Linked DNA regions of Callithrix jacchus. The protein of the gene in region 2 interacts with the protein of the main gene of each other region in a pairwise test. Links are inferred from orthologs where the notes say so. Each region holds a gene or a part of one and is shown on either strand. Other genes may lie near its edges.

Evidence for each region.
Region 1: the proteins of PGCKA1 (region 2) and EIF3E interact in binary tests that used the Homo sapiens proteins (3 or more experiments, as listed by UniProt). The two-hybrid records come from large-scale screens. The link is inferred for Callithrix jacchus from reciprocal best matches to the Homo sapiens genes PGCKA1 and EIF3E.
Region 3: the proteins of PGCKA1 (region 2) and PDCD10 interact in binary tests that used the Homo sapiens proteins (3 or more experiments, as listed by UniProt). The two-hybrid records come from large-scale screens. The link is inferred for Callithrix jacchus from reciprocal best matches to the Homo sapiens genes PGCKA1 and PDCD10.

The regions. Positions count from the first base shown.
Region 1 is NC_133517.1:88,832,505-88,842,601, forward strand, and holds the end of EIF3E (eukaryotic translation initiation factor 3 subunit E), read left to right. Parts: intron 1-7,405; coding exon 7,406-7,508; intron 7,509-7,786; coding exon 7,787-7,921; intron 7,922-8,991; coding exon 8,992-9,030; 3' UTR 9,031-9,174; downstream 9,175-10,097. UniProt on the Homo sapiens protein: Component of the eukaryotic translation initiation factor 3 (eIF-3) complex, which is required for several steps in the initiation of protein synthesis.
Region 2 is NC_133504.1:156,338,523-156,349,145, forward strand, and holds the start of PGCKA1 (PDCD10 and GCKIII kinases-associated protein 1), read right to left. Parts: upstream 6,231-10,623; 5' UTR 6,117-6,230; intron 5,804-6,116; 5' UTR 5,577-5,803; intron 5,489-5,576; exon of another isoform or gene 5,373-5,488; intron 1-5,372. UniProt on the Homo sapiens protein: Acts as a tumor suppressor. Acts as a tumor suppressor for colorectal cancer cell proliferation by targeting KEAP1/USP17/ELK1/CDK6 axis.
Region 3 is NC_133518.1:19,306,361-19,317,089, forward strand, and holds the start of PDCD10 (programmed cell death protein 10), read left to right. Parts: upstream 1-5,739; 5' UTR 5,740-5,827; intron 5,828-5,999; exon of another isoform or gene 6,000-6,174; intron 6,175-10,729. UniProt on the Homo sapiens protein: Promotes cell proliferation. Modulates apoptotic pathways. Increases mitogen-activated protein kinase activity and STK26 activity. Important for cell migration, and for normal structure and assembly of the Golgi complex.

The DNA.
Region 1 (10,097 bases), on a different chromosome or scaffold from region 2:
GTGTGTCTTTGTGTGTGTGTGTGTGGCAGTAGGACTTATTTTCAAATGCAGTATCGTGTATATCAATATATGTATTTATATATGTATATAAGCCAATCAAAGCAGAGCCCCTTCACCTTGCCTATCCTTTAGCTCTGTTCAGCTTTTGTCCTGACTACTAGGACACCTCTTTGGAACACAGTTTTATGAAACACTGACTTGGAACAACTGCATTGTTATGTAGACAGAAAACTTAAGGCTCAAGGACAGTAAGGTGCTTAGGTCTTGATAGAGCCTGGACTGATAGATATCTGACATTCATTGGACTGTACCTCATTTTAAATTCTTTTTTTTTTTTTTTTTGAGATGGAGTCTTGCTCTGTCATCCAGGTTGGAGTATGGTGGTGCAATCTCTGCTCACTGCAGCATCTACCTCCCAGATTCAAGCGATTCTCCTGCCTCAGCCTCCTGAGTAGCTGAAATTACAAGCGTCCACCACCACACCTGGCTGATTTTTATATTTTTTTATTAAAGATGGGGTTTTACCATTTTGGCCAGGCTGGTCTTGAACTGACCTCAGTGATCTGCCCGCCTCGGCCTCCCAAAGTGCTGCGATTGTAGTGGTGAGCCACTGTGCCTGGCCTCTATATTCTTTCATATTGTGAACGATTTATGTTTTTAGAAATGTCAGGTTTAGATTAATTTGTCATTTAGTGTATCAGTTGAGCCAGAGGATAAGGATGAAAACACTAAGTCAATTTAACTCTGTGTGTCAGAATCTTTGTAGAATTTGTTTTACAAACTCCTTGTAGCCACCCTAACCCTTTGAATCAGATTTACTGAGTAGGCTATGCTATGATTTGCAGCAGGGCTGCTGTGCTGTATCTTGAGGCTGGTTATTCCGAAGCACAGCCAGAATCAAAAACCACTGCATTAGGTCACCAATTTTTTTTTTTTTAAAGATGGGGTTTCACCGTGATGGCCAGGCTGGTCTTCAACTCCTGACTGCAGGTGATCCACCCACCTTGGCCTCCCAAAGTGCTAGGAATACAGGCGTGAGCCACCACACCCGGCTAGGTCACCAATTTTTAAGGTGTGTAATTATAGCCTGCCAAAATGAGTGAAAAAAAATCAGTAATTTAATACCTTCATTGTAAAATGAATTAAGAAGGTAAGCTTCTTTGTGTTTTTAAAGATGCTTTTATGGGTTAGAAAGACGGTGGCTGGAAATAATAAGTATTTATGTTGGTACTTGATAAATCCAGCTAACATTTTAATTTGGACTCCAAGGACTTGAAATCTACAATAATGACTAACAAGATCTCAAAATTACCTTTAAACAATACGTAGGAAAAAAAAAGTACTTGTTCTCTGATCCCAAGGTTTTAAACCTAGCTGTACATTGAAATCACCTGGAGAAGTAAAACAATGAGAATTTAAGCTTAAAAATAATAGATTTCCTGGTTTCATCTCAGACCATCTGACTCAAAATCTCTGGGATATAGACTTGAGAATCTGAGATTAAACCTCGGGTGATTCTTTTGCAGTCAGCCTTGGGGAAACATTGCTGTAAAGTAGTGATTTTGTAATACTGACAACACATTAGAATCAAATGGGAAACTCATTGCAGACTCAAGTAATAAAAAATACTGGATGACTGAGCCTAACGGTTAAAAAACAAAAACATATTCTGGAGGGAGACCTCAGTGACTTTGTTTTTAAAAAGATCCTTTAAGGGATTTTGATGCAAGATCTGGCTTTAAAAAAAAAAAGTTAAACTGTTTATTTTGAGATGATTTGTATCAGTTGTAAGAAATAATAGAGACCCCCCCTGTGTTCTTTACTCAGTCTCTCCCATTAGTAACATCTTGCAAAACCACTTTAAGATACAGCAACCAGGATGTTGATGTTGATACATTCAAGATACAGAACATTTCTATCACAAGGATCCTTCAAGCTGCTCCTTTATAGTGATATTCCCTTCCCTGCCATCTTCTCCTTAATTTCTGGCAAACACTCATTTTTTTCTCCAATTCTATATTTTTATTGCTTTAAGAATATGCAAAACATTTTCTAAAAGTTAGTGTTAGCTTCCTAAATGGCAAATACGGTTTGTGTCATGATTAAGGTATAATTAATTAATGGCAGCCTAACTAGTAGTATAGCTCTCCAAAGAAAACATTACAGATGTTAATGACTGCCTCTTTTGACCAATCACAGAGTGGAAAGTAGTGAGTACACTTTCAAAGAGCTTAAAATCCAGAAGAAGAAACAGATGTTAAATAAGTAGACAAATATAAAACTACAAATTATTGAAAATATTTGTAATTTTGGGAAATTTTAAAATTTTATATTTGAAATTAAACATTATTGAAAATAAGTCCATATCATTCTCTAGTCACTCTGCTTTGAAGAGCAATGAGAAGAAAATTAGATAGGTTCAGTGAATCCTGATAACTCTCTAAGTGGAATATCTTTAAGCCCCAAACTAGACTTTTTTGCATTGAATACTAACTGTGGCAAATTCCATTCACTCGTTTATGCTGGCTTATTTTTACCTTTAGTTAAAGTTATTTGATGCTTTTCTGTCTTTTGGGGAATAGGAGGAGGGGAAGGATATGTTGCAGCTTTTTTTCTTCCACCAAAGGACACATTTCAAATGCTGAAAATAGTATTATAAAACCAATAGTTGATTATTAAACAACTCCATTTGTAATTTAGAACATTCTCTGTTAATAGATTTCCTGACTAAATGCCTGAAAGCACGTGATAATCATAGCTTTATAAAAATGCATATTAAAGAATGTTTTTATATAAGCCTATAGATATGTAGGATAAGTTACAAATCTGTTTACCATAAAGCATGCAACATCTGTCAAAAAAGATTACTGTGGTGGGGTTTAATTTAGTGTAGCTGAATAGTTTTATCAGCTATGGTATGTGTCTGAAATTTAAAAGCTGTTGTTTTAAAATAATTCTTGGACCCGTTTTCAATTGTAGATAAAAACAAAGTATGGAAATAATATTTTGAATGTCTATGATAAACATGTTGGAACATACGTTAACATAATTTCCTGGTAGGGCTTACTTTAAGTTTTGAAGTTATTCTACTTTGCTTATTTTGTTGAGTTACATTTTAGGTCTTAAAATTTATTACCACATAATAATTTATATTTAGAATTATTTACTGATAGTTGGGAGAAATAGAAAGGTACGTTTCCAGATGGAGAGAAACAGTTTCAAAGGCCATTATCATTGTATTTTTGCATTATCAATAAGGTTTAGTTAATTATAAGATTATAAAGAGATGTTGGGAAGTTCAGTGAGAATTTTCAGTTGTCACGTAAGGATTTAGCATTTCTCAGTTTTCTCCTGTTTTCTTTGTTCTATTTCCTCCCAGTCATACAATTAAACAGTTTGCACTTAACACTTAATCTTTAATTAGTTGTCTTTAATCAGAAAAGATTTGGATTACTTTTCTTTGGATATGCTGAATAGTTGGCCAAGTCTTCAGTAGAAACTAGACCAGTGGTTCCTATATCCTAATTGTTAAATCAGCAGTATTTCAAAATAAATTGTGCCTATCATATAAAATTTGGAAAGCCAGGTTATTCAAAGAGGTAATTAATAAGACAGGTGAAATATACGTTCCTCAGATCCTTATTTTTCCAAATCTTTGTTCAGATGAGAGGGTGAGGGAGGATGGTGGCTATGGGACCATTCAGAAAAGGAAGACCATTTAAACGATTAGGCAGTGAAAAACTGACAGAAAATCTAGAGTTGAATCAGTTCCTAGATCTGTGGGAACATATATCTGTATCCTTAAGTGGGATCTCTAGTATTTTTTATTTCCTGAAAACAAAAAAGTATTTCATTTTGTGCTAGAACCATGAACATGTTTAATTAAATTTAACTGAGGATGATTTTTTTTTTTGGCTTTGGCTTTTGAAGTAGCCCTTAAGAATTCTGTGCACATCTTATTTAACATATTCAATGTTGTGTTTTTTGTGTGTCAATTGAGCAGGAGAGCTACTTAGGTTAAAGATATTTATAAGGGATTTATAGAACATATTTAAATATCTACCTTAAGCTGCCTACAGACAAGGTTGAGATTTTTAGTGTAATCTAGATAATCTAGAAATCTTGGCATTCAAAATCTGGATTGAACTAAGTATTTTTCTCAGAAATTCTGCATTTTGTTGGATTTTTGTCTTTCGGTTTATTGATAAATTGAATTATATTCAGTAGCATGAGGTAAGCATTTTTGTCTTTTTTTTAAATTGGTTTTTGAATGTTTTTTTTTTTCCCCCCTAGCCACTAGACCACCAGGGAGACAACTTTTTAAAGTTTTGATAGAATATTACACTTATATTTTAAAATCTGTACTATTCTGTATAAAATTGCTAGATTGGAAAAGAATTGTAGATTTTGATTATATCTATTAGTCATTTTTTTGCTTTTTGTTTTTCTTTGCTTTTTGTAGAGACAGGGTCTTGCTATGTTGCCCAGGCTGGTCTCAAATTCCCTGGTTCAAGCAATACTCCTGCCTTGGCCTCCGAAAGTAAAATTTAAAAGATTACATGTCTATTAAACACTTAGTTTCTTTTACTTTGTGTATTTTCATGTTACTTAAAACAAACTAGACTAGTTCCACATTCTTTAATTCAGAATGATAATCAATAGCTTAGATAAACTGAAATGCCATAAATAATATACTAGTATTTCTTGGGCCTTATTTCAGGTTTTTCTTTGACTTGATTCACTAATAAAGATCAACAAATAAATGATCAACAAGCACAGTGCAAACAAAGATCCGCAAAGTATGGATGTACAGAAAGAGGGAAGATAAGAGAATTCTAGTTGGAGTTATTACATAAGATGGAATTTTCTTGTCTTGTCTTTTTTTTTTTTTTTTCTGGAGACAGAGTTTCACTCTTGTCACCCAGGCTAGAGTGCAATGGCATGATCTTGGCTCACCGCAACCTCTGCCTCCCCGGTTCAAGCGATTCTTCTGCCTCAGCCCCCCGAGTAGCTGGGATTACAGATATGCGCCACCACATCCAGCTAATTTTGTACTTTTCAGTAGAGACAGGGTTTCTGCGTGTTGGTCAGGCTGGTCTCGAACTGCCGACCTCAGGTGATCCACCTGCCTCAGCCTCCCAAAGTGCTGGGGTTACAGGCATGAGCCACTGAGCCTGGCCTGCTTTTTATTTTTTATAGAGACACAGGATCTTGTTGATCTTGTTCTGTCACCCAGGCTAGAGTGCAGTGGTATGGTCATAACTTTACTGCAGTCTCAAACTGCTGGGCTCAAATGATACAACTTAGCCTCTCGAGTATCTGGGACTATAGGTGCAAGCCACCAAGCCTGTGTCTGTGTGTGTGTGTGTGTGTGTGTGTGTGTGTGTGTCCATGCACACATGTGCACAGAATCTCACTGGGTTGCTCAGACTGGTCTCAAACTTCTGGCCTCAACCTCCTAAAGTATTGGGATTATAGGTGTGAGCCACACATCCAGCCTAGAATGGAATTTTCATTCTACTGTCTTAAAAATCTAAGAGTAAATATCATTTTCCTAGATAAGCTGTTCCCAGATCTCCAGCCTAGAACTGGTAGACCTTTTTGGATCTCACATAGATAGTTCCTTCTACTTTTCCTTTTTTTTTGAGATGGGTTTCACTTTGTTGCCCATGCTGGAGTGCAGTGATGCCATCTTGGCTCAGTGTAACCTCTGCCTCCCAAGATCAAGTGATGTTTAAGTCAAGACCCCCTTGACTTAAACTCCGTAAAGGGTGGCAACAGAGGATATTTTGTCAACAGCATGTAACACAGTTTATATTTTGTTGAGTGAATATTAGCAAAGGAAAAGGATTGGTTTCGTTTGGCTGGCATATTTGTGAAAGAGAATAATGGGAACTTGGAAAGTTAAAAGTGTTGAAAGGAATTTGGGAATAAACTGGGTATAATAGTACCCCTTATCCAAGGGGTATGTTCCAAGACCCCCAGAGGATGCTTAAAACCACAGATAGTACCAAACCCAATAAATACTGGGTTTTTCTCTGTGCAAACATACCTACGATACAGTTTAATTTATAAGTTGAGCACAGTAAGAGATTAACAACAATAACTAATAATAAATAGAATAATTATAACAATATGTCAGCATCACTACTCTTGTAATTTAGGGCCATTATTAAGTAAAATAATGGTTCCTTGAACATAAGCACTGTGATATCAGGACTCTTGATCTGTGAGCTGGGATAGCTACTATATAACTGATGGGTGGATAGTGTATACAGCGTGGATATGCTGGACAAAAGGATGATTCAAGTCCTGGGTGAGACAGAGTAGGACGGCACAAGGTGTCACCATACCACCCAGAACAGTGTACAATTTAAAGCTTACCAATTGTTTATTTCTGGGGTTTTCTATTTAATATTTTCAGACTGGGATTGACTGCTGATAACAGAAACCAAGGAAAGTGGAACTACAGATAAGGGGGGACTACAATAGTTGGGTTGTAGAACTAACCTGGTAGCTATGTAAGATAGATTGAAGAGACTCAAGAGGTAAAGTAGTTAGAAGACTAAGAAATAGTAATGGAGGGCCAGGCGCGGTGGCTCACGCCTGTAATCCCTGCACTTTGGGAGGCCGAGGTGGGTGGATCACGAGGTCAAGAGATCGAGACCATCCTGGTCAACATGGTGAAACCCCGTCTCTACTAAAAATACAAAAAATTAGCTGGGCATGGTGGTGCACGCCTGTAATCCCAGCTACTTGGGAGGCTGAGGCAGGAGAATTGCCTGAACCCAGGAGGCGGAGGTTGCGGTGAGCCAAGATAGTGCCATTGCACTCCAGCCTGGGTAACAAGAGCGAAACTCCGTCTCAAAAAAAAAAAATAGTAAATGCTATGTAAACAGGGGTTATACTGTATTGGTTTTTCATTTGTATTATTTTTGCATGGTTATTTTTTATTGTTTGGGTTCCCCCCCCCAGATATTTTTTATCCATAGTTTGTTGAATCTGAGGATGTGGAACCTGTGGATATGGAGGGCTGACTTTTAATATGCCCTTATATAGAGGAAACATCATAAAACCTTTTTTCCCCTTAGATCATTACTTTTTGAGCATCTGGTAAATGTAAAGTACTGTTTTAGAAGCTGGAGGATTTCCGTAAATACAGAATATGGTATTTTCCCCTCAAGGATTTTACAGTCCAATTGGTGAAGGGAATATGTCGTGCATAGTACAGGTCAATAGGCAGAAGCATATGAATGAAACAAACACTAGGGGTCATGGTATATAAGAGAAGGGTGATCCAGAAATACCGGAAAGTCTCTATGCAGAGAGTGAGTCAAGACAGTGTACACAAAACTAAGCTTTTGGGCCCAGTTAATTAACATTGCTGTTTTTACTATTTCATTAGCATGTTGGCAGATAAACTGAACATGACTCCAGAAGAAGCTGAAAGGTGGATTGTAAATTTGATTAGAAATGCAAGACTGGATGCCAAGATTGATTCTAAATTGGTGAGTATTATGTTAGCTATGCTGTATACTGTCAGTTCCTGATTTTACTTTTAGGAATTCCTAACTAGGACCTTTTATTACCGCCTTTAATAATTTATTTTGTTTCAGTGTAAAACAGTTCTTTGAAGGCAACAGCAGCCTCATATTTTCTTCTTGCTTGGTAAATACTGTCATCTCTATATAGTGCATTAAGATATATGCAAAGGTAATGTCATGCTCATTACTTACTGAGAAAGTTGTTAACATTGTAGAATCTGTTCCCCTGTGTTTCCTTTTAGGGTCATGTGGTTATGGGTAACAATGCAGTCTCACCCTATCAGCAAGTGATTGAAAAAACCAAAAGCCTTTCTTTTAGAAGCCAGATGTTGGCCATGAATATCGAGAAGAAACTTAATCAGAATAGCAGGTCAGAGGTAAGAACCACACATTTTCTATTCTGTCTGGGATTTAGCAACCATGTAATTGTTACATGACGGTTTTGGAAGTCTGTCAATATGAATTGTAGCTGATTTTGTTTTTCTCTTTAAAGGTATGAACATTTTAAGAAATTACTTAACAGAAATGAATTTTTTCTTAGCTGTATTATATGTATTAAACATGGAAACTGAAAAAGAAATTGTATCCTAGTTTATTGTAACTTTTTCTTTTGCTTTTACTCTTTTTGTGTGACTTCATTAACTCATTTCCTCAGGGTTTTCAACATATCATTTTGATACTGGCAGATCATAACCTACATGTGTAGCCCTCTTTCAGGTGTTCAAAATGTATATTCTTTCTAAATCTAAAGAAACAGTTATGTAAAAATGTTGATCTTATCATATGTATTAGTCCTGATCTTATACAGATTTCATTATCTTTCATCTGATATTCATATCAAAAATTAATCTCCCATTTTGGTAGAGATCCTGCATATTAGATATTAAAGAAACTTGAATGGCCTTATAATTTTGGAATCCTAAACTATCTTTAATGTTGTTTAGACATTATGAATATGTGTAACCGGAGAGTAGGAAGTCATTAGGAAACAGTTGTGGGATATGCAGAAACCCCGTTTGATTGAAATTTTACAACAAATTTGTGTTGGCAGAATAGTCCTTTAGTTCTAAAGAGAAGGATGGATTCGAATGCGAATTGCATACTTTAACCAAGTTTGGAATAACTGAGCTTGAAAAATAACTTTCATATGATGTTTTTTTTCTGTATGCTTCAGGATTTATTTGTATTTTTTATTGTTCCGGTATTAATGATACTGTTTATTGCTATACATTTTAATTGGCCAAAAACTATATCAGATAATGATTTTGATAAGTTTGTTTTGTCCTAAGTGGGACACTGACATCTATGTAGTAATCACAGGAGTTGAGATCTTACAATGGTTTGGCAAGAGTAGTGCTAAAGTAAATGCTTTGTCACTTTCTTCTATGTTAGCTTTTTCCAAAAGTATTTTCTTTTTACCCTGTTGATTTCTTTTTGCATATTTTAGGCTCCTAACTGGGCAACTCAAGATTCTGGATTCTACTGAAGAACCATTAAGAAACAATGAAAAAACTATAAAGGAAAGATGATATAATAAAATTATTATGTAAAGGGTGACTTACATTTTGGAAACAACATACTGAGTATAAATTTTGAAGAACTGGAATAAAATTGACTATGATTCATTTTATCTTGCTGTCAGTTTTCTTGCATGTGCAAGTTTGTGGGTTTTTTTTACTTTATTTTGGAATAATTATATATTCAGAAGAAGTTTCAAAAATCGTACAGATAAGTCCATGTAGGCTGAACCCAGTTTCCCTCAACTTTTTCATTTTATGTTACTGTGGTACAGTATCAAAACCAGGATGTTAACATTGGCACAATGTGTGTGAATAGCTCCATACCATTTTATTACATATGTAGATTTATGTAACCATCACTGCAGCCAAGAGAGAGAACTATCACCATCATGATTTCCCTCATGCTTTTTTGTAGCCGTACCTACTCCCAAACAGCTCTAACCCTAGGGATCACTAATCTGTTCCTCATCACTGTAATGTTGTCATTATGAGAATGTTATCTAAACGGAATTACATAATATACAACCACTGAGATTAGATTTTTTATTCATCACAGTGCTCTTGAGAGCCACCCAAGTTGTCACATATATATGTATATACACACATACATATATATGTATATACACATCTGCACACACACAGAATCAGTAGTTCATTTCTTTTTATTGCCAAATTGTATTCCATGGTATTGATTTACCATATGGTTTATGGTACCTATTGAAGGATATTTTAGTTGTTTCCAGTTTGAGACCATTACAAACATAACTGTTGTTGCTTAATTTCTTAAAGTGGCTCCTCAGTCACTCACTGTATAGTTACGGAGACTAGGCATGTAGGTTGAATTTTATAAGTGTCTCCCTAATTGTTAAATGCAAGCACATACTGTTAACTGGATACTCGAGGCATTTAAGAGAGAACAACGCCCACATGGGGTCTCTTTTACGTCGAAGTGGCTTGATATTTCACTTTGGTTGTTGAACTGACAGCCAGTTAGATGACAGAAACTTGTCACTGCTCTCAAGGAGGGAGTTCA
Region 2 (10,623 bases):
CCCAGTGTTGGATTTATCACTCACCATCTGTTATGCCTAATCTAGACTAACATAGCTGGTTCTCAGTTTCTTCACTTGTAAAATAGCATTTCTGCCTTAATCTTTAGTGCTATTGTGAGAATTAAGTTAGACAAGTTATGTAAGGTGCAAGGTGCATATGATAAATTGTGAAAAAGGCCGTGATTCTCCATCCCTCCCTGAATTCATGTCATTTTCTAATGTAACTCTGCAGCCACTCCCATTAGAAAGTGCGGTCTATTTCTCCACCCCTTGAATCTGAGCTGGCTTCTTGAGTTGCTTTTGAAATAGCCTGGAGTGGAAGTAAGTTGGGTCACTTGACCGTAGGCCTTGCTTCCATTCTCTCTTGCAACCAAGTTGAGCCAACATGTGATGAACCCAGGCTAGCCTGCTAAATCATGAAAGAGAGGAGGCTCAGCTGCTCCCCACATGACGTGGCTGATGGTCCACCAACACTGAGAGGTAGAGCTGCCTTGGTGACCACAGATGCATGAAAGAGCCTGGAAAAGACAGTAGTTTGCCCAGCCAAGCCCACCCAAACTGCTTATCTACAGAAGCCCAAGCTCAATAAACGGTGGCTATTTTAAGCCATTATGTTTGTGGTGATTTGTTACGCAGCAATAGAGAACCGATACTGAATATATAAGTAATTTCTCAATAAGCAGTGGCTATGTTTTGGAAAATACTATACTTAACAGAGAATGAGTTGTTCATAATACTGACATTTGTGCTTTTTAGTCAGAGGTAGGAAGATGACTAAACCAGGAATTGGGACTCTGAGATTCTGGTTTCCTCAGCTTTTCCAGTGGGCAGCTGTACGGCTTTGGACAAATCATTTAACGTCTTTGAGACTGTTTCATCATCCGTAAATGAAAGTGGTTACACCAAGTAACTTTTAAAGTTATTTTCCGGCTCTAACAAAGATCAAGTGTCCTTTTTACCAAAATGCAGTACCTATTCCTTTCTAACATAGTGTTGAACACAATTGAACGTTTTTCTTGCAGACTTAGGGTTAATCACAGACCACGTTCACTGTATCGTCTTTGCTGCCTAGCAGTTGGCTGTAACCACATTTCATACTTATCCTAAGAGCTGTACATTGAAACTATAAAGTGGATCTCCTTGCTATGGAGCTCATTAGGAATCAGAAATGAAATAATGTCAAATAAGTTCTAGTAAGAATCTTAAGTATGTGGCTCTTATCAACAATTTGAAGGTAAAGGTGGACTTTTTTTATGCATTTCTAGGTTACAATAAATATTCTGGAGGCCTAAGATTGTTGACAATCTAGTTAAATAAAAGGGACACTATTTTACAGCTATACGGAATCAAATCTTTGTATTTACTGCACATTAATAACCAAGATATATATGATACTCAGTTATCAAATGAGGGAAAAGAATTAACACCAAAATCAAAATTTAAAACTCCTGTGTGTAGACATCTACTCTGCAACTAGTGATCAAGTGAATGAATACATTTAGAATATATTCAAATACACATTGTATTAAAAAGCTATGCATGTGGCAATGAGTCAATAACCAAGGTGACTTCTGTTGTCACACAGGCATTATGTATAGCCTCTCGCATGTCACTAATACTCTTACAAATACAATACAATCCTCTCTGTGATATATAGCAGGCCACGTTGTGGTCAACTGAAAACAATAAAAAAGAAAGGCTACTCTACTGTCCAGTTCCACTAGTGTTAATCAAATGTCAGGGTGATTTTGCTCCCAGAAGGAGTTAAGCTAAATCAGAGAATGTGTATATGATGGCAACAGTTTACCTTAGCTTTGCCTTCAGATTTATATAGTTAAGTTGGCAGAAAGAAGCACTAGGTTGTTGAAAAAATGTGAAATGTAATTGGCCAGCTATATACTAGAAACTTTTTTTCTGTGATTAAAAACCATGAGAAGCCCTAGAGGAACTAGAATCCACATGAAGAACATTGCAATGAAATGTGACTTAAGTTTATCTACCTGGAGAAAATGTATTTTGAAATGACATGTAAATTGACGTCAGAGATTTCAAGTCACCTAACGGGTTCTTACAGTTAAAATCTTAAACACCAATGCTTCCTTAAATATCTTTTGAATCAATTCACTTCTTTCTCTCTTCTAATGTGGATTTTTGCTGCAGCTGCCTTTGGTCTCGCTTGTCTCTTTTCTGTTTCATTCTCATGGCAGCCTGCATGAACTTGCTAAAATAGAGATCTGCTCTGCTTGAAATCCTTCAACGGTCTCTCCCAAGATTAGGATCTCTGAAGACAAGGACTGTGTCCTCAGAACCTCATCGGCCGTCTGGTGTCTCTGGGTCTACACACATGATGTCTCTAAGGCCAGGTCAGGGTTTCATTTACTTTTGGAGAAGCACCTGCATGCTGAACAGAACAGGATTCGCCACTTGTGATGAAGTCTGGATACAAGATGCCTTTTGTCATTCGTTCATATTCATGGTAGCTCAGGGACATCTTTCTCCAGTGCCTGACAGCACTGAGTCAGCATTTTGAGTCTTAATGTTCTGCTTCAGGATACATATTCATTGGCTTGGTGTTTCAAGTATGCTTTAGGAAAAGATTATTTGATAATCTACAGTCCTGAAGATTTTAACTAGCCTCTGTGGGACTATAATATTCTCAGGCAAAAATGGCGCAAGTAGACGAACAATTTCATTTTTCAGTTTATTGTCTCTCTCTTTTTCTTTTCTTTTCTTTTTTTTTTGAGATGGAGTCTCGCTTGGTCACCAGGCGGGAATGTGGTGGTGGAAGCTCGGCTCACTGCAATCTCCCCGTCTTGGGTTAAAGCGATTCTCCTGCCTCAGCCTCCAAAGTAGCTGGGACTACAGGCACATGCCACCACGCCCAGCTAATTTTTGTATTTTTAGTAGAGATGGGGTTTCACCATGTTGGCCAGGATAGTCTCGATCTCCTGATCTTGTGATCTATCCACCTAGGTCTCCCAAAGTGCTGGGATTACAGGCATTCGCCACTGCACCCAGCCTACAGTTTATTTTCTTAAACAGCAGAGTAAGGAATGAGCCATCCTGTGTCTCTACAACTAGAGACATCAGGACTGTAGATTATCAAATAATCTCTACAACTAGAGACACAGGATGGCTCATTGGTTAAGAGCAGGCACTCTAGAAAGGCCACGAATGAGTGACCCATCTGATCTGCACAAAGGTGAAGACTCCAAGTCTGCTTCCCCTAGGATGACCCCTTTGACTTTTCCCAACTCTTCTTTTCTACACACCTAGAAAGTCTCTCTGTAAGCATGTAATCTGTCTAATGACCAAAAAGAACAACCAGAAAGAAAATCTGTCTAATGACCAAGAAAGAAAAGCAGGACATAGGTAATTAGTTACTATTTAACCAAGACTCTAATAAAAGATCCCAAGATTCAGGGTTATCAGAAAAATTGTGTAACTAGAGGAATGTGAAACACAGTCTAGGGAGAGGAAACCCAGCTACCAGGAGGCAGCTATTCAATTATTTGGAAACTGAAGTCTATTCCAAGAAACACAGTGAATGGGCTTCTGGGCACCAAGAGCGGGCTGTTCTAGGAGAAGAGGGGCCGTTCCTACCTGTGCAGTGCCCTACCTGTGCCCTGCCTTAGGCTGCAACTGGATTCTGGCTGGAGCTTAACCAGGTTGTGTGTCCAGGCTCAGAAAGGGTCTGGGTGGGAAGTCAAGGGAGTCATTCCATGTTTAGGATAATAGAACATGTTGGTATGCAAGTTTTTGTCTTCAATCTCAGATATGCAAAAAGCTCTTTGAAGCATGGCAAAGATTTCTATTCTCTTTAGAGAATTGGCCCTATTTCTCTTTAGGTATCAATATATATCTAAATCTCTGGAGCCATTGAGGATCAGGATTACACGTGCTGAATAAATGATGGAGGAGGATCACAGGATGGACACAGAGTGGGCTGAGAAAAGAAGGAAGCACATCTTCCCTTGCTGTCTCAGCGTCTGTTCCTCAGTGACTAAGGCACTCTTCACACTTTAGGGAAATACAAATAACTCTGGAACTTAACTTTACCTTTAAGCTTCAAATTGTTTCAGTTATGTACCTTGTTTCAATTATCTGCCTCCTGACAGTGTTTCCCAGCTGGGACCAGTAGGGTGGTCTATGGCCTTTAACATTTGTCTTATCCTTCAAATAGTATTAACTGAAGGATTAAATGAGGTGGGAAGGGGTAGGCAGCAAATATAGACTCTATTATGTTTAAAAGCAGTAACCCCTCTCCATTTCTTTCTCATTCAACTCTCAAATGCTTCTTATCTTTTCTCCAGGTATTAGTCCTCACAAGAGATTGCTTGATTGCAACCACCAAGGACACCCACAAACCTGGGCGACACGGATCATCAGTAATATTTCCCATGAATAGTGACAGAAAGAAAATAGACCTCTATTCTTCAATGATTTGAACCACCTCTGGAGCACAGACTTCCTCTAAATTCACAGGGCAAATATCTATCATGGGGCAGATATCTCTGCCACCATGGAAAGCAACATAAAATGTACTAAGTCATCAGAGGGAGGTTTTTTTTTTTTTGAGGTCAATTGCTGTGCTGGGGTAGAAAGCATTGATTCTTGCCTTTTATCACTGGAAAATTATTCAGCGGTGCTTTGTGAAAATCTCGCCTCACCAGGGCTGCCAACGTCAATGCAACCCAAGTAATCAACCTGGGAGATGCTTGCCTAATTATTAAATATTTAGCAAACAGTTTGTGACTATTTAACTGTTTGCACCTGGCACCCTCTCACTACGTGCGGCCTCCTGGCACCATGACCTCTTCCCCCCCACCCCATCCACCGCCCAGGCCGCCAGCACCCCTGGAGGGGAGCAAATCCCGAGATTCAAGGACATTTCAAAGAAACAGCAGAGGTCACATTCCATTTCCTTTTTATTTAAAAAAAAAAAATGCTTAAAAATAGGGGAGGGAGAGCTAAGGGAAAATCTCTTGCAGTTTTTCAAGTTCGCACGCACCGCTGAAAGTTCATTAATTAGGGATTTAAAAGCAAAAATGTTTCACACAACCAATCAGACGCCAAGCTTTACCAACGCCTTGGTGTTTAGTTTTGGGAATCTGTAAAAGTCCGCCTCCTCCTACCCCAGTTTTGCCCCTTTTACAGCCCCTTTGTTGAGTTACGAGACTCTTCCCAAAGTCATCAAACTCCGAACTGCGTCTCTCCATTCTCTAATTTTTTTTTTTCAGGGCAAAAGCAAATCAAAAAATTAAAATTAAAAGTAGGCACCACGGAGAGAAGTGGGGGAAAGCGCGCCCTAAAGCCAAGTTCCTCAGGACTCAAACCCTCCTCGCGCGCGCGGGACGGGGGACGGTCCCTACCTGGGGTCGGACGGCGACGGCGGCGGCGGGGTCGCGGCGCCCATGGCTTCGCCGGCCTCAGGCGGCCGCGCCAAGAAACGCAAGCAGCTCCGCGCTGCCTGGAGCCCGCCGAGCTCGCAGCGGCCGCCCCGGCGCGGTCATTGGGCCCGCGTGTCACGTGGCCCCGGCCGCGGGCGAGCCTCCCCGACACGCGTAACCCTTTACCTGCGCTCCGGGAGGATACGGCGGGGCCAGGGATCGAACCCCTGGAGTCCGACGTTCGACGTCTCCGGGGTCGGAGCTGCTGTCCCGGGCGCACTGAAGCAGAAAATCCAAGCGCTTGTTGACCTCGGAACGCGAACGACCATGCCAGCCCACTGCCATCCCGGGACACTCCGTGGTGCCTACTTCAATGTTGCGCTGGAGAGAAGCAAGCTTCCTAGGATCCTGGACTGGAGTAGGGGATAAACAAATGCACGCTCTGGCAAATAGATGTGTACTCCCAAACCCCGCGAACATGCATTTTTCGGTTTCCTCCTCATTTCTGGCATTCGCCGCCTAGACCAGCTGTGAGCTCCCTCGCCAGCCCTGTAGAAGCTACATGGACCAAGAACGGGGCGCCACCACCACGATAATAGCCAGGGAAGTTGTAAACACTCGGCTGCAACCTAAAGGCCGCAGTGGGAGTTCAGTGAACTCATGGTTCCCTGTCCCCCCCCTCACCCACTCCCCCACCATCCCTTTCTTTTCCGGAGGTCTTAGGACCTTGGCCACAACACTGCATCCAATCTCCTGAGCTCCACATTCGTAGCTGTTCCAATCCATATTCCTAAGTGGATGGAGAACTGGTTGCTTTACCCTAGAACTCTGCTTAAGGACAGGACATTCTTTTCACCTGTGCTCCAAAGCAAAAGCTGGGCTTGCCAAAAAATAAATAAATAAATAAACAAATAATGTGTTAAGCAACTGCGCCACCTAGCTTACCCTCTTCTCTTCTTTTCAACTCATCCAGCGAGAGAATAAAACAGGATATTGGAGAGACAGCTGGACAGAGTATTATCTAAGGATGAACATTGTGTCCTTGGGTTTTCAGTGTATCTAATTTAACGATTCCAGCCGCATTCACATGACATTTGCCAGGCTTTTGGAAGTTTGAAGACTCCATTTTTTGAATCCTTCTAATTTTGCAGCGCTGGGATTGCACGCTGTAAAGTGGTAGATTGTTGCCGAAAATTGTATGTGGTTTTACATCCTTTGTCAATAATGGCATTCATGTCCAATAAAGTCGACACTTAATTGGTGTCTACAGGATATTGAAACATTTATCAGGTAGGTTATCTGTCCAAAAAGGCGTTGGTATTTGTCTTGGGTATTTATTTATTATTTGAGACAGGGTCTGACTGTCGCACAGGCTGGAGGGCAGCGGTGCCATCTCGGCTCACTGCAACCTCCTCCTCTGGGACTCAAGGGATCCTCCCACCTCAGCCTCTGGAATGCCTACAGGCACATGCCCACCAGCCCACCATGCTCAGCTAATTTTGTGTGTGTGTGGAGACTAGGATGGGGGTGGGCTCTCCCTAACTTGCCCAGGCTGGTCTTGAACTCCTGAGCTCAAGTGATCTGCCCTCTTTGGCCTCCCAAAATGCGATTGCAAGCTGAACCACGGCTCCCAGCCTGTCTTGGGTTTTAAAGTTTACCGTTCCTAGACTAATAGCATTGGTATAATCTGAGAGAATGTAGTAAAAATTCAAATTCTTAGGCCCCACCCCAGACGTATTGATTCAGAAATAGTTGGGGAGAGAGGGTGAAGAAATCTGTGTTTTAGCAAGTGGTACCCACTCCAGTTTGAGAACCATGCTCTGAATATACACAAGTAGCTGGTGAAGTTCCCCTCCTCTATTAAATAGTGAGGGTTGGCATTCTATAAAACCAGAGGTGCTGCTTTTATTTGTATCCCTAAATTACCAGTATTATGTAATTTGTCATGTTGATACCCTGGAACTGGCCCCTCCGTGTGTCCATATAAAGTGTAACCTGTGCTTCCTGCAGCTCTCTTGGAATGCCAAATTGAGATCTGAGGGGGCTCTTGCAAAACATACGGAAGCAAAACCTACGGTTTCTTGATGCATGGCAGGATGAAAACACCATGATTCATTTCATTTTTTTAGGTGTGCTCATGTTTTTATTGGCACGTAGATTGTTCCCAGCCAATGAGTTATGAAAGATAGAAAAGCTAATTTATTTGAGTGGATTTATCAACATGGTTCCAAATTTGTCAAATAGTTGTAAAAAAGAAACAACATTAAAAAAATTATGGCATCAGTTTATGTTATAACCAAAAACCTCCCCACACCATATTAGGCATTGTAGTAAGGGCACCTGAGAAAGAAACAACCGAGTGGGTTCTTTTTTTTTTTTTGGAGATGGAGTTTCGCTCTTGTTACCCAGGCTGGAGTGCAATGGCACGATCTCGGCTCACCGCAACCTCCGCCTCCTGGGTTCAGGCAATTCTCCTGCCTCAGCCTCCTGAGTAGCTGGGATAACAGGCATGCGCCACCATGCCCAGCTAATTTTTTTGTACTTTTAGTAGAGACGGGGTTTCACCATGTTGACCAGGATGGTCTCAATCTCTTGACCTCGTGATCCACCCGCCTCGGCCTGAGTGGGTTCTTTTTATCTCAGATTTCCCCATGGGATAGGTTGCATATTTCTAATCGGCCAGATGGATGTCTTATCTTTAAACTCTCTAGGTGCAAGTTTATTTTATGATTTTCCTCATTTTCATCCCTGTTCGCTTTACATTCATAATTCTATCTACTCAATTTCAATTGGAACTGGAATTATTTGAGTTTTCTCTCCCCTTCATCAACCACCTCTATCCATTAAGCCCTGAAATTAATCTTGAGTTGCCCCTACTCTAAGCAGTATCACTGTCACTCTTCTAAGAACGGGTTCTAACATTTCTAACTTAGATCATTGACATGTCTTTACTGGTCTCCCAGCTTCTGATCTCTTCCATCTGAAAACCATCTGACAAAGAAACTGTCCTTCCTCAACACTTTTTCCCAGCTTCCTGTTGAGACCAGCCCAGTTTTCCAAAAAGCCAAATGTTGATAGCGCTGAAGCTTGGGAAACTTACACCTGCTGCCTGTTGACCAATTCCTCTTCCTCAACCCTCCCTAATTTCTGTTTTCCTATAGGAGGTTACAGTGAGATGCTAGACACCTGCTGCCTGTTAATCAGCTCCTCTTTCTTGCCCCGCCTGTTTTCTTCCCCCACGTAAACCCTAACTTTAGCCAGGGGAGATTCAAATTTGAGTCTTGTCTCCTGTCCCTCTGGCTAATATCATTCATAATAAAGGCTTCTTCCCTGACAATACTCATTGCCTTAGTGATTGACTTTCTGTGTAGCGAGCAACAGGACCTACCTAGGCTGAGCCCCTGGCTTTTGGTAACACTACTAACTACTGAATAAAGTCTAAAATCCCATCAGCATTTGAAGTCAGCTGAAATATGCTTCAACTCCCCATTTTTGCTCATGCAGCTTCCTTTACCTGAAATGTTTTCTGATATTGACAGCTAAATCCTAATTATTCTTCTAGCTTCAGCTATATGTCCTCTGGGCCAACCTTTTTGAGACTCAGGTTGAATTAATTGCTCTTCTGTAGTGTATCCTCAGCACCTGGCTTTCACTCTTACAGACTTTGAAATCAGTCTCATCTGGTTTAGCTGTGTCTGTTTTAGACTGTAGGGTTTTGTGTGGCAGGAGTCATGCATGACTTTTGAAATCATTCCAGGGCATAATGCCTTGGGCATAGCAAACAAACATTATTTGTTGTGTCCTTTACTCTAGGAAAGAAGATATTTAAGCAAATTCTATTTATTTAAAATGCTTTTTTTCAAATATTTATTAACTTCTCTACATTTTCTTTGAGAACTGAAAGGAGAAGGGTTTAACCTTTTCAACCTAAAGGATATTACCATTTGTGAGTAATGGAATAATTTTCACTGGTGGTAAATTGCACGTTAGTCTCAGCCACATGATGCAGGCAATAAACCAGAATAATTTCTTATTTTCTTAAAACATTAAAGTTTCTCTGAGAACAATTATTTCATGACAACCAGATACAAGACTTCATCTAATTATTTCCTATGCATTATCACCAAAGCTCACCAATACTGCTCTGTTTCTGTTTTATAAAAATATTTTTTGGTGCATGTGTGGATTCGCAGATCCAAGAGACAAGAGATGGAAGACAGGGCATATGGGAAGGCTCCCCTTGGTCCTGTTCTTTCACCAAAGGGAATTTATGAGCAAGACGACTCCTCAGTCATCATCCTTCTCCTCCTTCCTCCCCATCTTCAGAGGGAAGCACATTGCCTCTGCACTTACACAGAGATTTGTTGCTACCTGTTTTCCTGTTAAAACCTAAATCCTAGAAGGCATGAGCTATTTTATTTACCTTTGTGTTTCTGGCAAAATGTGTGACCAAATAAATATTTGATGAATGAATTCATTAACTCTTTCTGGATACCTGAAAAACCTGAGCAACCTCCAGTGATCTTCAGAGCCTAGCCCATCTCCCACCTGCAAGTTGGAAAGTATCTTACAGGTCATTATCAATCGCTAAGTGCCTACTGGCTATTAAATGCTCTATTCTGATGGACTTTGAGTTAAGGAAAAAGACATTGAGAGTGCACTGAAGTCTTGTTTGGCTATTTTCCCTGGACCCCTGTTTCTAGGTTTCCTTACCTATAAATTTAGAATACTAACAGGACCTACTTCACAGGGCTCTTGTGAAGATTAAAAGGCTAAGTACATACAAAGCTCCAAGTACAGTGCGTGGATTAACATAAACACTCAGTAAACATGAACAATTATTATTATTACTGAAGGCCTCTAATCACATCTGCCAAAAATGGGGGAGAAAAACAAACAGCACGCCAATCTAAGTAGTTTATCTTTTATTCATACAAATAATACATACACAAGACTGTATATTGTTTGAAGACTGAAATAATTTTCTAGTGTAACAACTCTGTAACAAAATTTAACTAAATGTAACATTTATGAAAATATAAATCTCTGATTGGGTAATTCTTCCCAACAATACAAAGTTTACATAAAAACATTCAATATGAGCTATCAGTTGCAAACAAGTTAGGAAAAATCATTCAAGTCACTTGCATACTCTATTGGCTTTTACGTAGAACATTCACATACTACATTTAATCCATCTGGGCATTTAATTCTTAGAAATGTGTGGCATGAA
Region 3 (10,729 bases), on a different chromosome or scaffold from region 2:
TAAGAAAAATTCATTTTTCTAGTTGTATTTGTTTGCAAAATGATGTTTCATTATAGACTGCCAAATAGTTATCCAAACTGTTACTTACCAAGTATGAACTATGTAAAAAGATTATCAAAATGAATACAAAGGTCAATGAAACTCAGTGTTAGCTCTAAAGATACTAAATATCTGGTGAGAAAGATGGTATGAACTAAGTTTACAGAAAGCACAGTGCTAATCATTAAGAATAGTGTCAGCAGGGCACAGTGGTTCACACCTGTAATCCCAACTCTTGGGGAGACCAAGGTGAGAGGACTGAGGTCAAAAGTTTGAGAGCAACCTAGACAACATAGCGAGACTTTCATCTCTATAAAAAATTGAAATTAGTTGAGCATGGTGGTTCTAGCCTACAGTCCTAGCTACTGGAGAGTCTAAGGTGTGAGGAGTGCTTGAGCTCAGGAGTTCAAGGTTACAGTGAACTATGATCAGGTCACTACACTCCAGTCTAGGCTACAGAGTCAGACCCTGTCTCCAAAAAAAAAAAAAAAAAAAAAAAAGGAAGATTAATGATTTATATCCATCAACTCAAAGGTAAAAGTAAACAGAAAACAGTTAAATATTTGCTATAATTAATTTTACTATTAAAAAACTATATACAATTAACTAGCTGTATAGGTCTTCTAATAATCAAGTAAAAATTACATTGGATTCTTAATTCTACCACCAATCAGATTAACTTGTTTCTAGAAGGTTAAATGCAAAAAAAAAGAAAGAAAGAAAAAACAACAAATGCCTACCTCCACACACATGCTCAAACAAAATCAGTTTACTTCCTTTTTTTTTTTTGGAAAGAAATAGTTACAAAAACAGAAGAGCAAATTTGGTTTTTATACAATGAAACATGCTTTCTACAGATAAGCTTCAACAAAGGTATAACTCTAGGGCCTTGAGGTTAAATGATGGTGAGCCCTAGGTTTTCCTGTCTGTGAAATTCAGACCTTAAGTGGCACCAGTTGGAGACTCCTTTACCCTCGCCTATGTATCTTATCTCTGGGACGAATTTAGAAATGTTGGCACCCAAATTTGTAATATCTTTGCAGCCCACACAGTGTGAATCTAATTGTGCACAATCAACACTTTTGCAAAGGCAAACTAGCATAAAGACATTTTCAGAAGGACTACTGTATAAGCAAACATTCTGTGTGGTCAACTGACTTTGTCTATCAAAGTGCAAACTGTCTCAGTGTGTGCATTATAGAAGTACTGTCCAATGTCCAATGGTTCTAATTCAGTAATTGGTTACTCAATTTCTTTATGCTGAATATGACATAAGGTGCTCAAGACTAACAGGAGATAGTAAAGAAGTATATGGTCTCTAAGAGTTAATAATGTAGTTACTTAAAACACACTTTCCAAATTTTAAGGACTAAAATTTTAAATTTAGTCCGTATATTGTAAGATTAAAAAATAATAATAAAAATAAAACAACAAAAAATCTATCCCTTATTTGTGTATGTTAATTCTGATCCCAAAAGCAGTGTTTAACCTTTGAAATTTGCTTAATTAAAGAAATAGGCTCTTCTTTATCTTAGTGCCTGGTTCAAGTACCATTATTATTTTAAAGGGGGAAAACACCATTTTAGGATTTTAATTTTTGATATTTTGTCCAAATAAGGTTTCACTTAGAAGTGAATGTATAAATATAAGGTTTTGTATGCTTTAATAATTCATGAATATTCAAAGTCTAATGAATACCAGTTTGATTCCAGCTAAAATGGCAATTGACTGGAATCAGACTGGTATTCATCAGATTTTGAATATTCATGGATTATAAAAACAGAAAAAAGGAAGGTTAATTATCTAAAATTTATTCCAGCAAAAACTACCATTTTTAACTGGAGTCAGACTGGCATTCATTAGATTTTAAATATTCAATTATACTTAGAAAAGTAATGTATCCTAGTATGAATACAGGCCTCTAGAAATTAATGACTGGGGAAGAAAAGGCCATAGAATCATAGATTACAAGAATTTAACAAAAAATATAAAATATGTTTTTCTCTTTTGCTAAAGGTGTGTTTCTCAAATAGTTTTCTTTATATGTATTCCCCTGTCTCCTTCTTCACCAACACCATTTGATCTTGAACCTTTAATTCTTGCTCTTTTGTGCTGCATGCATCAGTGAAACCTCCTCCTCCTGTTAAAGAGAAATCCACACTAGCTTATTTTTACTCAATAGGCTTAGAATTAGAATTCTACAGAAAAGACCAAAGAATATTGAAATTTGAAATTAATCAAGGTTTTTGGCTAAACAACAATCATCTCCAGAGCAATTTCCATTCAAGAGAGACATTATGCACTCTGTTGCTTTTCCTTTCTCATCATATATATTCAGTGATAGCCATACACAAATAATGAAAATAAAGAGCAGAGTAAGTAATATGCTTATAACACAGGTAGCATTTTACATAGAATTATAAACTGCCATATAATGAACATTTTCAACACCAATCAAGAAAAATCTTTAGATTACCTGAGATTGAATGTGACTATCAACTAATGAATCAAAAGTTCAAGGTAAAAAATAAATGCCATATATTGCCAATGATATTCTCTCATTTAAAAACATGGTCTTCTTTTTTTCAAATGATATTGAAACCCATCTCTTTTATTGACACAGTAAAAAGAACCCAAATCTTGGAAGTAGATGAAAAAATCAGTATTTTAATACCACAAACTCATTCATTCCTAATGAGATTCTAGTCTTTACCACACTTCAGAGCAGAAGACCTATAAAGAGCTGGGATACAAAGTACATCTTAATTTCAACTGTTTAGCTATTTATCTTCTAACCATGTGCTTGCTTATTAACTGTTTCCCAGTAAAACTCTTTCAAACAGATCTTTTAATAAAGGCTCTGAAAAAATTTCATTGCTAGTATTATAATTATTACATAGGGGAAATAACCCAGTGACAACAAGTATTCAATTTTACAAAATGAATTAGTAGGGTCTGAGAAAGAATCTAAGACTGATTCAAGACAATCCCTTTAATCACAAATAACCAGGGCAAACACAGTCTTTTCCAGGTGTCATCCTAATACCCACTTTTTTTTAACCCCAAAAATCATTTTCACAAGGCCACATCAGCTATGTGAATTAACAGATTCTCCAGTGCTGTAGCAAAGATAAAACCTGATCCTTAACAGTGGTTAAGTTTAGCAGCTACTGCTGCTTTTTCCTTCTTCTAAGCAAAAAAAGGTTGCTTTTTTTTTTTTTTTTTCCTGTTTTTGATACTTAGCTGATCTGCTTAGGGGTAATAAAAAAAGCAGCTGTTTTCCTAAGATCTATCTGTCTATATATTTCTATGGTATGTGAGAGTGCGGGAGGGAAGAGTATATACACTAGGTTATACACTAAGTCACTTAGGCTTATCGGTAGTAGCACTCAGTAGGACTGAACTTTAAGCTGGGAAGAGAATTCATTTGAGCCATTTCTTTTCAAAAAGAAATTTGGAATGCATTACAAAAATAACATTTAAAATCTTGAGAACTCAGGAAAGCATAGAAACAGGAGAAAACAAGGCAATTACTCCATTTTATTGACCCTAGTTATTTAAAAAAATCTAGATTAAAGTATTGAGACAGACTCCGAAATATACAACTGTCACAATGAAGGCATTTCAGAGCAAAATTTGCTGCAATATGCTACTATGATTAAAAGCCATGTAATCTGGGAACCTCTGTAACAAAATGAAAATGAACTAGGAAAATAGCTTCTTACTACTTCTCTAAAAATAAGAGGCTGTAATTTTGTCATAATTACACAAAGGTAGGTGAGACTTGCATCTTTACCTGGCATGACAACACATTTCCATCCATAGGTATTACAGTTACATTGCTTTGAATACACATATGGTCTAATACCGAGAATAAACTATTATTTTATGACACTACATGTTTTAAATCTGAACCCACTATCATAACACATATTAAGGGTAATCTTTAAGTGCATACTCTCTAACCAGAGAAAAGATTCCCATACAGCTTTCTATGCACTCTTGTTTTTCAAATGTACACATATTATCAGACACAAATGAGAGAATAAGGAGCAGCAGTGAAGTACACCATATGTTCCCATTGTACGCTGAATCCAGGTCTTTGTTCCAATATTACAGAGCCACTGGAAAGAAAGCTAACTATCCATTCATTAAAATTCATTTTTACATTATTGCTGGCAAAAGTTACACTTTTGATAGATTAAGTCAGAGCCCATCCTATCCTGACTATTCCTGCCTGCATTTGCTTCTTTAAAACGGATCTCTTGCAATTCTAGGAACCTGCAAAATAACTACTCTGGATAACAGGTCGGTAGCAGGACAATCTGATAAACCAATGTAAAGGGTAGACACTGAAGAAGAACGCAAAGTTCTTTTCCTAGTGAAATAGTTCGGAAGTCATTCTATATCAATAGCACAATTTTTCCTTTTTAGAGGCTACGCACCTATAACATCCACCAGATAACATCCACCTCATCCTCTATTAGCAGGGTTTTTCTCAATCTTGAGATCTCCCAGAACAGTTGTACTGGTGCGACTCAAACCAAAAACACTAACCACGCCCTTTATGCCCAGAATCAAGCTTCCTTTTGCTTTTTTGCTCTTAAAGTCCAAAAATGTAAATCTTTCACCCGAGAGGGTTTGCACCGGTTTCCTAACCCAAGGCGGACTCTTATAGCTGTGTCTTGTAATTCCCATTGGAAAACATTTCCTCCAGGGCAGTGCAGACGCCCCGAAGAAGGACCCCCCCCCGCCCCGCGCTTACCTCCCACACACCTGCAACCCCTGTCAGGATTCTGGAGCTGGTGCCGGGAGGGCTGCGCTCCGCTCCGCGCTCGTTCCTGCTTTCGTCTCTCCCGGGAAACTACAGCCCAGACTGCGCCTCCGGCTTCTACGGGGACCCAAGCTCCGCCTCCCTGTCCTCCAGTTGGCGAATTTGGCAGCTGTTGCTCCTCCCCCTGCTGTTTCTGCAGCTGCCCGGGCCAGAGGCAGCGGAAAGCAGCTGCCTTGGTACCTTCCCGCTCCCCGCACTTCTGCAGCTGCTCTGCTACTTCCTCTCCCCTGGGGGGGGTCCCTCTCCCCTCCTCTGTGGCCTCACACCTGGAGCTGCCTCTGGCCCCACCCAGGCGTCTCTGCCGGGAGCCCCGGCTCAGCCGATCCCTCCCCGACCCGTGGGTCAGGTTCCCCGGCGTGCGTGGGGCTTAGCTGCTCTTGGGGAAGCTGCCCCTCCGTCCAGTGCAAGTCCCTACACCAAGCCCTTCCTTCACCCGGGAGATTTCCCGGAGGCTTCCTCTCTACCCGCAAGGCATACTCAGCCCGATAGCCCCACGTTCCCCACCACGGGCCCCTCACCCACTTCCTTCCTCGGTTCGGTCAGCCCGCCCCCTCAATGGGTGAGGCGCCTGCCGGCCCGACCCCGCACCCTGATTGGCGCAGGTGAGGGTTTGCCCCGCCCTTCCTCTCCTATCCGTGCACCATCTCTTTTCTTCTCACCTCCTCCCGCAAAGGAAGGGAACTATCCTGCTATTGGCTAGGAGTGTCCCCACCCATCACCTCAGGCTCCCCCGCACGGCCTGCCGGTAAGTGTAGTCTTCCGAGTGCAGGAATTACGGACAACACCGGCAAGCAGGACTACGAGTCCCCATAGGCCTCTGCGCGACTCCGACTGGGCAGGATTCCGGACAACGCCTGGTTCCTCTCGGGTCCTTCCGGCGTCGCCGGAGTGAATTGATCCGGGAGTTGAAGAGGGCTGCAAAGGTGGGAAGTGAAGTCAGTGCCTCAGTTGCTGGTAAGATGTAGCTGTTCTGTCCCAGTCCCCGTAGCTCTCCACTGAGCAGAAGAGGTCTAGGGTCACGTAGGGGCCATAGCTGAGGCACTCGGGCTTGGTTCTGGCAGGCGGAGCGGACGGGGCTGGGAGCGGGGCCCTACGGGCGTAAGCGAGGTTACCCTACGCGAGTGGCGTAAAGCCGGTTTGTAAATGCCGCCTGCGGGCTTGGGCCCGAACGCCTCCAGGAAGTCTCCTTTGGGTGGGGGCGGGAGGGGAAAGGCGAGGTTGGCCCCTGGTGCCCCAGGAGCAGGGAGAGGGCGGATGTGCCTGGGGTGGGGTTCTTTAAAGGTGTGGCTTCGGACGGAGAGGTGAGGCTGTTGTTTTCCCCTTGCTTTGTAAGAGAAAGGGAGGAGGAAGGAAAGGGTGCTTGGGAGTCTGCTCTTGGGGTGACTAGGGTTATGCCCTTTGAGGGAAGAGGAGCACTGGAAGAAGGAAGAGACAAATGTTGTGGTCTACGGATTCAGTTCCAGTTTAATGATGTGGCTCCTCTAAGGAGGTAATTTTGCCTTAAACAGAAAGGCTTGACCCTCTTAGGTGTCATACCTAAGGTATGTTTACTCTTTTACTGCTTTCAGAGCGCTTTCATGTTGGGATGCTGATGAGGAAACCGAGGGATTATATGACGTGCCCAAGGTCACACACGGAGGGACAGACTTTCTCAATCTAGTCTGGTTCGAGTCCAGCTTCTAAACCAGAGCTGCTGCCCGACAGAGAAAGATTGGGGATGTTGGTTGTGTTTTTTGAAAAGGGTGGAGGAAGTTGCAAAGTAAATGTATTTCATATAGTACATCTAAGAAGCCATTGTGAGATGAAAAGTTGTTTCTTGAACTGAAGTGAAATTCCTCAATAAAGGAAAGAACCTTTTGGAAAAAATAAAAAGGGTCAATTTCAACTTTTACAGATTTTCCCCCTTTTATTGGGGGTGTATTAAAATATATTCTATTCTCACAGTTCATTTTTAAGGGTAGGTAAAGGGATGGGTGAACAACAGTTAAACAATGTATCCCTTCCTTAATAGAATATTCTTTTTCTACCTTAGGACTCTTTTTACTCTCATTTTGTAAAACTGATAATAGTGGGATTGGAATTCTTTCACAAGACTTCACACCTTTTCCAAATAATGTAGCCTTAGGAGAGTTTAATGTGCTTATTACTAGAAAAGAAGGTATTTTGCATTTCTTAGAGGTAAGATCCTATCGTTTGAGATTTTACTTTTCCCCCATTTTCTTGACTCTAGGCTCTTTGTGTATGTGTGTGTCTGCAAATAATAAAATCAGACTCTTGCATATTTTTTTCTTAGCATCATCTGTGACTTTTAAGTCATTCTTGTTTTACATTAAAGAATTTTTAAAAGTACGCTTATATTTTATATCTTGGAGAAAGTAGTGCCCTGTGCCAGTCTTATCCGCTATAATTGTTATGACCAGTTATATCTCATGACTGTTATTACTGGGTAAGTTTTTAAGGGAATTGTAATAGAATTCATTGATGGTAGAATTTCTTTGTTTTAACTTTAGATCCATAAAGGTTAGCATGTAGAAAATCATGGCTTATTCTTAGCATGTAGTAAGTCATAGGTTACTGTTTTATAGACAAGTTGATCATTCGACTATGCTGAATTTTGAATGTACTCTGCAATTATTTTAGTATCAACAATGTGCTTCACTTTTTAATGCAAAAATATTTTTTCGGAACAGAGATATGTTCCTGGATGATTGAAATTAAGATGGTCTGGAAATTAATGCGATTTTAAAATAGAAAAATTATGGTGCTATAGAATGAAGTAAAATCAGGAATAATGTGCCATGAGTAATAATAGTACACAGACAAGAAAGAATCAGTTAAACAAATGAAACATTGTGTGAAGATAATTGACTTCTTTATTAAGAAGGATTAATAATCCTTAATCTTGCTGGATTAAGAAGGCTGCGGTAGTGTAAGTAGACCATAAACTGAACATGTATCATTGATGGTAAAGCAAGAATATTAATGTATTTTCTAGATGACAGTGTAGGTATTTGCCTTTTGTTGAAGGAGGTATAAAATGAGTTCTAACCTTTGGCATGTAGCTATGTCATTATGGAAAGAGCTTTTGAACTGTGAGGAAAATTTGGAAATAAGTTAATATAATGCATTTGTTCAGTGTATTTTAGATTTCGTTTTCTTGTTTCAGTTCTAACACTAATTTCTCTTTATCTCTGAGGCCAGTTATAGTTTCGGCATTTCTTCTCCTGGGCTGGTGGATTAATGTTTGTATTGTATTTATCATCTTTCAGTCAGTCACATGCTGGAGTATCATGGTCACTTTAGATCTCTGCACCTTGGTTGGATAGTTAAAGAGTTCACAGAGTTATATATACACATGTATTCTAAGCGTAGTTTGCAGCTCACCAGTGTCTGCATTTCTTCTCATTTTGGGCTTTGCAGAAGCCTTATATCAGCTTCGGGACATTATTTCTCATAGGACTTAAGATGTCTTCCATGTATTATACATCTGTCTTTTTCTTTAAGGATGTAAGGTCTGTAAGAACAGGTGCTGTGTATTATTTATCACTGTAGTCACAATAGGTAAGATAATATTTACAAAGAGAATGAAGAGGCTCAAGTAGGTTAAGTAACTTGCCCAAGGTCATGCAACTACTTAACTGGTGGGAGCAAGACAAAATTGAGATCTTCTGACTACAGATCTTTAATATTGTGGAGTAGAGACTTAGTTCCCTTATTTACATGAGAAAAAGACTTAATGTGACTTAAATATTCAAATACTATTACCCACTTACTCTGTTTAACACTAAAAATTTATCTCTTCTCCTATCCAGCTCTCCATCCTTACCTCCAGCCTTTTTCATTTATGATGCCTTTCGCTTACTGCATAAGCTGCTTCCTGACATGGTGGTCTTTACATATTCCATCTCACTCCTTGGACAGTTCAACTCTTACCTTCCTAAATGTGGCCACCTGGTAGTCAGTTTTCATGTCTCAATTTAAATATCATTCCTCAGGGGAGCCTTGCCTTCCTACCCAAAACCAGCACAGGTTGCCCCTGTGTATTCACCATACTCTACACCTTTGTGGCATCATCATAATAGAAACTTAATTATTTCTGTTTTTATTTGAACAAATATTTGTGTGCTCATTGAACTATAAGCTACCTGAGCAGTGCCCTCTCATTTGTCATGTTTTACCCCAACACATATGTAGTACCTGGCACAATGTAAGGGTTCAGTAAATATTTGCTGAATGAATGAAGGAGTATATTCATGCACAATGCTTCCAGCACTTTTCTGGGGACAGAAATATAGAAATGAATAAAGTAGATAGGCTTTATGGATTGAAATATATAAGAACTTTAAAATGAGCTATGTAACACTTAGGCAACTTAGGTTATATGCAAAGGAGTCATTGACAGAATTTTAATATAAACTTTAGAAAAATGTGTATTTTTGGAGGTCTCTGAAATCAGGAATAATTTTCTAAATGAAAATGATAAAGGAATCACGTTCATTTACAGCAAAATTACTGTGTAACACAGCATTTTAGAGACTTACCACTGTCCTGCTTTTTTGCAGGTAATATTCATTGTATAAAATATAGGCATGGACTACAGACTTTAGACTGTAGACTAAAATATAGACTTCTATTGACTCTTCTTTCCTAGTGTTATCTCATTTTGTCCTCAAAACTTTTATCTCCTCTAAGTAGTAATATTAACACTGTTTCGTAGCTGAAGACATCAAGAAAATAAGTAAATTTACTTATTAAACGCAAAAAAGTTTAAATTGCTAGGGTTTCCAGAAAGTAGGTACTAGAACCACGGTTAGACTCTGGATCTGTCTCCGCATTCTAAAATCCATGCTTTTTCCTTTTTCTTTGCTTTTGTTTGTTTGTTTGTTTCTTTTAAACCATGCTGTCTTCCTGTGACTTAGACCTTTAATGTCACTTGATTTAGACAAGGTGGCTTTGTAAAATTTAGTAGTTTTTGTTTCAAAGGAACTTATATTTGGGGTTTTCTGAAAATTTTTGTAGTGCTAAAGTGAATCTTACTTGCTTTAAACCTATAGACTTAAGTATAAAAAGATCATCATTTTTAAAACACGCAAGCTGAATTTTAGGGATAAATTGTGTTAGGTTTTGGTCTTGAAAACAAATTCTGTAGTTACTTGCTGTACCACAGTATGGTCTAGAATAAGGTCGATAGCCCTGTATTTCTGTAGCCTTGTATGCCTTTATGAATTTACCTGTTTACTCTTTCATAAGATCTTGTCAAAAAGAGATTGCTGATATTTGGCTCTAAAATTCGATAATACTATCTATTTTATTAATAAAAGCAAGTCTTTGCTAAATCTTAAACTTTTTAAAAAGTCAGTGTTGATGTTACTTGAATCTTGGATAAAATTTTCATACTTACCTTGCATAACCAGTATGTGGAGGATAAAATTCAAGTACTGCTTTTTACATGTTGTCGGACTATTAAGCTCATTATGATAGGCGTTACTAAGAATTTTAAGCCACTTCCATGATAAGTAATTTTTTCATAATATAAACTGTAACAATGATTTAGAAGTTAAATTTCATTGTTATCTATTTATTGCACTTGAAATATAGTAAGCTTCAATGTTAGAAGCTTATGCTTTAGGGATAAACACACACAAACACATAATATAAAAAATGAAAGCACATTTATTATAGCAATTAGAAATAATTTATTTGCTGGAAGATAAACATTGTGGTTTGGTGGTTCAGTTTTGTTTGTATGAAGATGGAAATTTCAGTTTTCTCATTTAAGCTACAAAATTTAAATGTGTCTTAAGTGTATTATATTACCCTTATTTTTCAAGCTCACCCTCACATTTTTGGTTATGT